2 linked regions of the Canis lupus familiaris genome follow. Each later gene encodes a partner of the first gene's protein in a complex. Links are inferred from orthologs where the notes say so. Each region holds a gene or a part of one and is shown on either strand. Other genes may lie near its edges.

Region 1 (4,226 bases):
GCAGTCGCTCCTCTCTAAAGATTGCCATTTATGGGTCTAGACTTTTGATGGTTAAAATGAGAAAATTTCAAATTAAAGCAGAGGAGAAAAAGTAAGATGTAGAGGAGGATGGAAGTGTTCGGAGAGGTAGCATCCAGGGGCAAAATTCTTTTGTATTGTTGAGTGGTGGTTGTAGAGAGGGAGGTTCATTGAGATCTCCTCCCCCCTGCCAAGCCTATACTCAGTGCCTGCTTTTGTCTGAGAAACCCAGGCCATTTCTGGGCTTTGAGCACTCATCTTGAGTTTCTCAACTGACCAGATTTGCCCCTCTGATAACTGCCCCAGAAACCATCTTCTGTGACATCTTTCTCGAAACCTTTGGCTTCAGTGACTGAGTGATTTACCTTTTGGGGAGGCTGAGCACTAATGGCTTGTTTATGAGGCTGGCCTCGCTAAGCCAAGGAATCTTGCCAAATTTCGGAACAGAAACCTGGAAAGAAATGGAAAGAGATCATTCCGTGGAACTTATTGCATTTGAACATTGCCATCAAAACAATAACCAAAGTGAGCTAATGGCAGCTATATAAAAGTCAGCACTTTACAAAACATTTTTATGACGAGGGCCTTTTGAGTCTCCTATAAAGGATCCAAGAGCAAACAGTGTTATCTCCACTTTACAGATGAAGAAATCAGAGCTCAGGCGTTGTGATTTGCCAAGTCACACGGCTCATAGGTGGATTCAGGTTTTCTGACTTTCGTGCCCTCTATACCTGGCCTTCTACTCTACCTATCCCTTTGCTTCTTTATTACTTCCATCTGTTGGTGCACCTATGCAGCCGGCTGAATTATCAGCAGCCTCCCGTTCAGTCCCAGACTGTTTTCAGCCGCAGGGCCCTCCGCTCCCGATTCCTTCCAGGCACCAAAGAGGAATGAACAACACGCTGAAGCCGCGGACATGGCACGTTAATCTGTTAATCCACTTTCCAGCTGGTGGCTTTGGGACAGCTCACAAGGTCTCTGAGCCTCGGTTTTGTCCTCTTGGGAAGATATCATCACTTTCCAGGTCAACGCACAAGACAGAGAGCTGCAGGAGAGCAGGGATTTTCGGTTCCACTCACTGTGGTGTCAAGAGCCCCCCTAGGACAGTGCTCGCAGGTGCTCTCCGAATACCTGTCCAGCGAATGCACGGATGCGTGGCAAGTCCCCAGTTGAGGGCCTGACTGAGTAACAGGAGCGCCTAAGAGTCGGCTCTACAGTCTCTCTTTACCAGCCCAGCCTCTGTCCCCCGGCGTTCGGATCCCAAATAATCCAGCCTTTCGTTGCGGCGCTTGCTTTTTCCTAGGCTCCGAGCGGCGCGTCCTCGGGAGAGGAGCCGGGAGTTCCGCGGGTCGCCGGCAGGGGGCAGCAGCGACCCCCGCAGTTCCGCCGGCCGGGGAAAGGCGCTCTCGCCGCGGGGGGGGCGGACCCGGAAGTGCTCGGCCGGCGTCGCGAGCGCCGCGGAGCCCCGGATGGGAGCGGAAGTGGGCGGCCGCCTCCGTCCGGCCGCAGAGCCCCGGGAGCTGCGGGCAGGTGGGTCCTCGGGCGGGCGTCCGCGTTTCCGGGCCTCCTTGTCCTCCGCCACGCCCGCGCAGGCGCAAGGCCGGTGAGCGGCGGCCGCGGAGGGGGAGTGGGGCGTCCCCGGGGACACCTGGCCGACCCCGCGGGGGGGGGGGGCGGGGCGTTGCCCTGGGCGACGGCGGGAGCGCGCTGGGCTGGGGGCCCTGCGGCCGCCAACGGGGCTCCAGGGCGTCTGGCCGGTGCAGCCCAACTCGCCGTGGTCTCCGTGGAGGGAGTCAGGTCGGGCAGTAGGAGTCGCCTTCCCGGGCTTGCTGGAGGGAGGACTCGGGTCCTTCTGCCTCCTTCAGGTTTCCTTGTGGAGAAGGGGTCGTCGTCCGCGGGCCTCGCGAGAGTTTCCCGCCAGGACGCGAGCTCTTTAAAGGAGGTTAAGCTCGCGAGGTTCGTGGGTGAAGACCCTTGAGATTCTAAACCGGGAGCTCGTGCCTTTTTGTATTGTGCGGTTTACTGTTGTCTTTAGACTGGTACCTTTTCTTCTTCTTCTTCTTATTTTTTTTTTAAGATTTATTTATTCATGAGAAACAGAGAGAGGCAGAGACACAGGCAGAGGGAGAAGCAGGCTCCCTACCAGGGGCCCGATGCGGGACTCGATCCCGGGACCCCGGGATCACGACCTGAGCCAAAGGCAGACGCTCAACCGCTGAGCCACCCAGGCGTCACTGGTACCTTTTTCTTTTTTTTTTTTTCTCCTTTTTTGGTATAATGCCTTTGAGGTCTCCATCAATAAAAGCTCCGGATCCTATCCCTCGAAATTTGCACTAATTGCAGCCACAAGGATATGGTGACAGGGAGAGTGTTTTGGATGCTCTGGAGCCCATCCACAGACCTCAGGGATGTGTGAACCCCTGAGGGAGACATGACGTGAGGCTCAGGCTTCCGGGGAAAGACGTGGGCCTGAATTTGGCGCCACTGTTAATTTGGGCTAAAGTTGTCTGAGCAATCTGAATCTCAGGTATTTTTACTGATTAAAGTGGAGCTAATGCTGATTTGAAAGGAGAGGATTAAACGAAAGAAGCTCCAGAAGGCACCTGGCACATAGTAGGCGCTCAGAGAGTAATAGCTGACAGATGTCTGTTGTTATCTGTGGGATTATAATTAAAATCTGATGTGAAGTGTTAACGTCCATAATTATAAAACAGCCACCGCATGTATTTTTGCTCAGACTTTTAATAAACTGAATTAGTTTGATTTTTAACTCAGTCCTTCCCTTGACCTTTGACAGCTTTCCTAGGTTCATAGTCTCTCATTTTCCAGGAACTTGGCTGCATCATCCTGCCTCCGGGAACAAACTCTTCGAGTTGAGGCCTCGTCCGGGTTGCTGCCTTTGAAAGCAAGGGAAGGTCGGTACACTTTGAACCGCAACACAGCATGGAACTTCCAGAGAGGTCTTATTGCAAAACTGTGTAAAGAACAAGAACCACCTGGACTTCTGGAAGGGAGCTCAAACTGGCCTGAATTTGAAGGAGGGGATAATGTGTGCCCAACCTGTAACTGACACAAAGGAGATCAAGTGGCAGAAGGTCTTGTATGAGCGGCAGCCCTTTCCTGATAACTATGTGGACCGGCGTTTCCTGGAAGAGCTCCGGAAAAACATCTACGCCCGGAAGTACCAGTACTGGGCTGTGGTATTTGAGTCCAGTGTGGTGGTACAGCAGCTGTGCAGCGTTTGTGTTTTTGTGGTTATCTGGTGGTACATGGATGAGGGCCTCCTGGCGCCCCACTGGCTTTTTGGGACTGGCCTGGCTTCTTCACTGATTGGCTATGTTTTGTTTGATCTCATCGATGGAGGCGAAGGACGGAAAAAGAGCGGGCGGACCCGGTGGGCTGACTTGAAGAGTGCCCTCGTTTTCATTACTTTCACATATGGTTTTTCGCCAGTGCTGAAGACCCTGACAGAGTCTGTCAGCACCGATACCATCTATGCCATGTCAGTCTTTATGCTCTTGGGCCACCTCATTTTCTTTGACTATGGCGCCAACGCTGCCATTGTATCCAGCACACTGTCCTTGAACATGGCCATTTTTGCCTCTGTCTGCCTGGCGTCGCGCCTGCCCCGGTCCCTGCATGCTTTCATCATGGTGACATTTGCCATCCAGATTTTTGCCCTGTGGCCCATGTTACAGAAGAAACTGAAGGCATGTACTCCATGCAGCTACGTGGGAGTCACGTTGCTTTTCGCATTTTCAGCCTTGGGAGGTTTACTGTCCATTAGTGCTGTGGGAGCCATCCTCTTTGCCATTCTGCTGGTTTCCATCTCTTGTCTCTGCCCTTTCTACCTCATTCGCCTGCAGCTTTTTAAAGAAAACATTCATGGGCCTTGGGATGAGGCTGAAATCAAAGAAGACCTGTCCAGGTTTCTCAGCTAAGTTAGAGACTTCCATTCTGTTATTAAGGCAAGCTGATAGACTAGCCTCCCAACTAGTAGAAGACTCGAAGACAGTCCCATCCTGGAAACAACATACTGATGTGGGGGTAGGGGAACAGCAGTCAAAAGAAAGAACTAACCAAAGGCATGGGTGGTGAAGATGCTTGTCCTTTCTGTTATTTTGTGGATGAAAATGCTTTCTGGGGCCCTCCTCAATTCTTGCCTCTCATTTGCTGTAACAAATGAAGTGGTGTGGCTTCTATTTATT
Region 2 (4,176 bases), on another chromosome or scaffold:
AGTGCAGCCCTGTGGAAAGTTTTCCTCCACAGAAGCTGAGTAGAACAGTCCTGCTAAAGAGACCAATGGAATAAGGACAGTCAACGTAGGAAGAGACAGAAACATTCTTCTCCCCCGCTTATTACCTGCCACTCTGACTTTTAAAAAATTAAGTAGTATTAAGAAAATGCAGTTGTAGGCGTTGCTTTTAATTGTGATCTAGTGCTGCTCCGTTTCTTCTTGCTTCTTATTCTGATGTGTCATCCTAGCTGCCTGTGGTATCATATTAGGAATCCCATCAATAATTGGATAGGCTATTCCCAACTCTTCATTAATCAATTCATTTGTCGATGCTTCATATCTGAGGGGGGAAAAGAAAAACAAAATGAATTGTGGAAAATAAAATGCTTAGAAGTGCGTGGTCTTCAATAAACACCACCATTTATCCAATTCTTGACAGAGAGTTAAATTCCAAAAAAGTAGAATTAAACTGCTTCTAGGGTTGCCTGGGTGGCTCAGCAGTTTGGTGCCGTCTTCAGCCCAGGGCATGATTCTGGGGTCCCGGGATCCAGTCCCACATCGGGCTCCCTGCATGGAGCCTGCTTCTCAACCTCTGCCTGTGTCTCTGGCTCTCTGTAGGTCTCTCATGAATAAATAAGATCTTTAAAAAAATAAAAAACTGCTTCTAATTCTAAAAACAGTATTAGCCAACTGAAACATTTCTCTTAGAAAATGAATCTCTAATTGTTTGCATTTTGGTCAGTTTCTCTTGTATTTTTTCATTTTATTCTCGAGCTACACCTTAATATGTATTTTTAAAATCCAGTTAGAAGATCTTCCCTTTTCATCAAAATATTCCTTCCTAACTCTGGTCAACCCCAAAACCATCCCAGTTAATTTACTACTGAAACAGCCACTAGAGGAAAATTAAAATTCCCCACTATTTTAGAATGCACGCTTAACACAGCAACCTAATTGAACCACTGGAAGGAAACCACTGAAAATCAAGATATACAAAATAAAAGTTTGAGGAGGAGAGAGCAGAAACGAGGAAACTGAAAACAGTGCATCTGCAGCTAGTTACACAACTAAACGGTAGATCAAATGGTCATTTCAAGGTATAAGAAAATTGAGTGGGGATCCCTGGGTGGCGCAGCGGTTTAGCGCCTGCCTTTGGCCCAGGGCGCCATCCTGGAGACCCGGGATCAAATCCCACGTCGGGCTCCCGGTGCATGGAGCCTGCTTCTCCCTCTGCCTGTGTCTCTGCGCCTCTCTCTCTCTCTCTGTGTGTGTGTAACTATCATAAATAAATAAAAATTAAAAAAAAAAAAAAAGAAAATTGAGTGTCTTCATTATGGGAAAACATCTCGTTAAGAGAAACGTAGAAAGATTGAAAAAAAAAAAATGACTAGCAATCCACCACCCAAAATAACCACTGATAACAGTCTGGTGCAAAACTAGTGTTGTCAATGTTCAGTTTTAGTAGCCTGGGGGTGCAGAGTTCTTTTAAAAAAAAAAAAATTTAAACTCGGGCAGCCCCGGTGGCGCAGCGGTTTAGCGCCGCCTTCGGCCCAGGGCGTGATCCTGGAGACCCGGGATCGAGTCCCACGTCGGGCTCCCAGTGCATGGAGCCTGCTTCTCCCTCTGCCTGTGTCTCTGCCTCTCTCTCTGTGTGTGTCTCATGAATAAATAAAATCTTTCCTCATTTGATTAACATACAGTGTATAATTAGTTCAGAGATAGAGTTTAGTGCTTCATCAGTGGAACCTAACACCCAGTGCCCATGACATCAAGTGCCCTCCTTAATGCCCGTCACCGGTCACCCATCCCCCCACCCCCAGCAACCCTCCGTCGGTCTCCTAGAGTTGGTCTCCCTCTCTGATTCCGTCTCCTTCTATTTCCCCTCCCTGAGCTGTTTTCCCTAAGGATTCCAGGGAGACAGACCCTACGACTCTGCAAAACCCAGCCCGTCCAGAACTAAGAGCCAAAGGCGCAGCAGCGCACGCAGCTTAAAAGTGTTTAAGGCCGTCACGCATCAGCTGTAGATTTCCATAAGAATTTTTAGTCATTTTTCACCATCTTGGCTTAAAAACCTCACACCCACGGGCCAGTCCCGACTCCCAACAGTTCCTAAACCTGGCGGCGCGCGAGAACCACTTAGGTCCTTTTAAGAAAACGCCTCGCGCTAGTCCGGCCCCCAGCCCGGCTGACTGGGTCGGTCGGCGCCGGCGCACCCGAATCGGCATTTAAAAAAAAAAAAAAAAAAAAGTTCCCCCGGCGAGGCGACCGCGCGGCCAGCGCGGAACCTTCCAAGGCTTCCAGCCGCGCCTCGGCGGTGGGATCCGAGCGGCCCGGGATCGGCTCGCGCCCGCCTCCCCCCTCCCCCGCCCTTCCCGCCGCAGTGGGCGGAGCCTGGTAGCCGCAGGGCCCGGGGCCACAAAATGGCTGCGGGCAACCCCGGCCCGAGCCGAAGGGCTCCCCAGGGCCGTGAGCGGCCGCGCGAACCGAGGCCGGCCGCCGGGAATCTCACCTGAGCGGCTTCTTGGAGAGCGGGCACACCAGGAACTCGAGCAGCGCCGGGTCGAAGGCGCGGGGCGGGCCTCCCGTCCTCTCGCTCTTGTCTGAGGGCCGCCGCGACCCCGACGCGTGAAGGCGCCTGCGGGCGACCGCGAACGACGGCCCGCGCGGCCCCCGCAGTGCTGAGGCGAGCCGGCCGCACGCTCCGCTCAGCATGGTCTGGCAGCCCGCACCCGCCGCCCTGCCAGCGCCCGGCCGCTTCAGCCGCTTCCGCCGCTTCAGCCGCTCCCCGCGCAGCCGGCCCCGCCGCCCGCCAGGCCCCGCCCCCGGTGCTGCGGGAATGCGGTCCCCGGGCGGGCGGGCAGGAGGCAGCCCTTGGGTTCCGGGGGCGCTGCTGACGCGACTGCTTCTTCCCGCCCACCGCTCGGTAGTTACGGCGGGGCCCGTAGCCGCGGGGCTCCAGTGGCTGTTCGCCGCGTTTACCGATGACTGACAAAGCCAGGGCTTGAATTGGGGGCATTTTGGGTTTTCACCAGGGCTCATCGCAGGGGAGCCAGGAAGCCGGTGGCCGGATCTCAGAGTCCCACAGGGTTAAGCTTGCACCTACGTGGTCATCTCCAGAATGAGGTTTCGAACACGTATTGGGTATCTTAAAAGCATGGATTTGTTTTATGTAAATTACCATAGCACCTGTAACCTTTCCCCCCTCCCCGCCCTTTTCTTATTAAATGAAAACTTGAGGGGCCCCTGGGTGGCTCAGTGGATGAGCGTCTGCCTTCGGCTGAGGTCGTGATCCCAAGGTCAGGGGGTAGAGTCTAGCTCAGGCCTGACCCCGGGTCCTGGGATCGAGTCCCGCATCAGGCTCCGCGCGGGGCGCCTGCTTCTCCCTCTGCCCGTGTCTCGGCCTCTCTCTCTCTCTGTGTGTCTCTCATGAATAAATACATAAAATCTTAAAACACACACACACACACACACAAAGAAACTTTAGAGCCTGAAAAGAATAGCATAGGCCTCTTAACCTCCCAGAAGTCCAGCTTCTACTGTGAATTCAACTGCATCATAAAGCGCAGCCAGTTTATAAATGAGCTGGTGACAGCAAGGAGTCTGAGCAACTGTGCAACCAAGCGGGTGGATGTACCTTAGTTGGATGGCAAATCCGCTCAGTGGATTTTCCGCGCCAGGTTTGCATCTGGTGCTCTAGGGAAGTGGTCTCAGGCTTGATCTCTTTCTTACCATGAAGGAAGGGTTGGGCTCTGGGGCCTGGCAGCTCGGTTTCTGGTCCGTGCTTTACTAGCTGTGTAAGTCCAGCCAACGACTTACCCAGTTTCTTTTTTTTTTTTTTTAATTTTTTTAAATTAATTTATTTATTTATGATAGTCATCAGCGAGAGAGAGAGAGAGAGGAGAGAGAGAGGCAGAGACACAGGCAGAGGGAGAAGCAGGCTCCATGCACCGGGAGCCCGATGTGGGATTCGATCCCGGGTCTCCAGGATCGCGCCCTGGGCCAAAGGCAGGCGCCAAACCGCTGCGCCACCCAGGGATCCCCCCACTCAGTTTCTTTATTGTATGATAAGATAATGGCACCTACCTCATGAAATCTCCTTGTGGGCATTCAAATGGGATCTTGCAGGCAAAGAATATTTAGAAGAGTGATCCGGACAATTAACAATTGAGTTAATGC

The links.
Region 2: PIGC (region 1) and PIGY share a complex: the UniProt entries of both Homo sapiens proteins name them as parts of the glycosylphosphatidylinositol-N-acetylglucosaminyltransferase (GPI-GnT) complex. The link is inferred for Canis lupus familiaris from reciprocal best matches to the Homo sapiens genes PIGC and PIGY.

What each region holds. Positions count from the first base shown.
Region 1 is NC_049228.1:26,429,952-26,434,177, forward strand, and holds the start of PIGC (phosphatidylinositol N-acetylglucosaminyltransferase subunit C), read left to right. Parts: upstream 1-1,426; 5' UTR 1,427-1,548; exon of another isoform or gene 1,549-1,621; intron 1,622-1,879; exon of another isoform or gene 1,880-2,057; intron 2,058-2,194; exon of another isoform or gene 2,195-2,255; intron 2,256-2,815; exon of another isoform or gene 2,816-2,847; 5' UTR 2,848-3,065; coding exon 3,066-3,959; 3' UTR 3,960-4,226. Other genes in the region: C7H1orf105 (uncharacterized protein C1orf105 homolog), read right to left, coding at 384-469. UniProt on the Homo sapiens protein: Part of the glycosylphosphatidylinositol-N-acetylglucosaminyltransferase (GPI-GnT) complex that catalyzes the transfer of N-acetylglucosamine from UDP-N-acetylglucosamine to phosphatidylinositol and participates in the first step of GPI biosynthesis.
Region 2 is NC_049253.1:28,141,974-28,146,149, reverse strand, and holds the start of PIGY (phosphatidylinositol N-acetylglucosaminyltransferase subunit Y), read right to left. Parts: upstream 2,801-4,176; 5' UTR 2,713-2,800; coding exon of another isoform or gene 2,510-2,712; intron 341-2,509; coding exon of another isoform or gene 199-340; 5' UTR 106-198; coding exon 1-105. Other genes in the region: PYURF (protein preY, mitochondrial), read right to left, coding at 199-340, 2,510-2,712. UniProt on the Homo sapiens protein: Part of the glycosylphosphatidylinositol-N-acetylglucosaminyltransferase (GPI-GnT) complex that catalyzes the transfer of N-acetylglucosamine from UDP-N-acetylglucosamine to phosphatidylinositol and participates in the first step of GPI biosynthesis.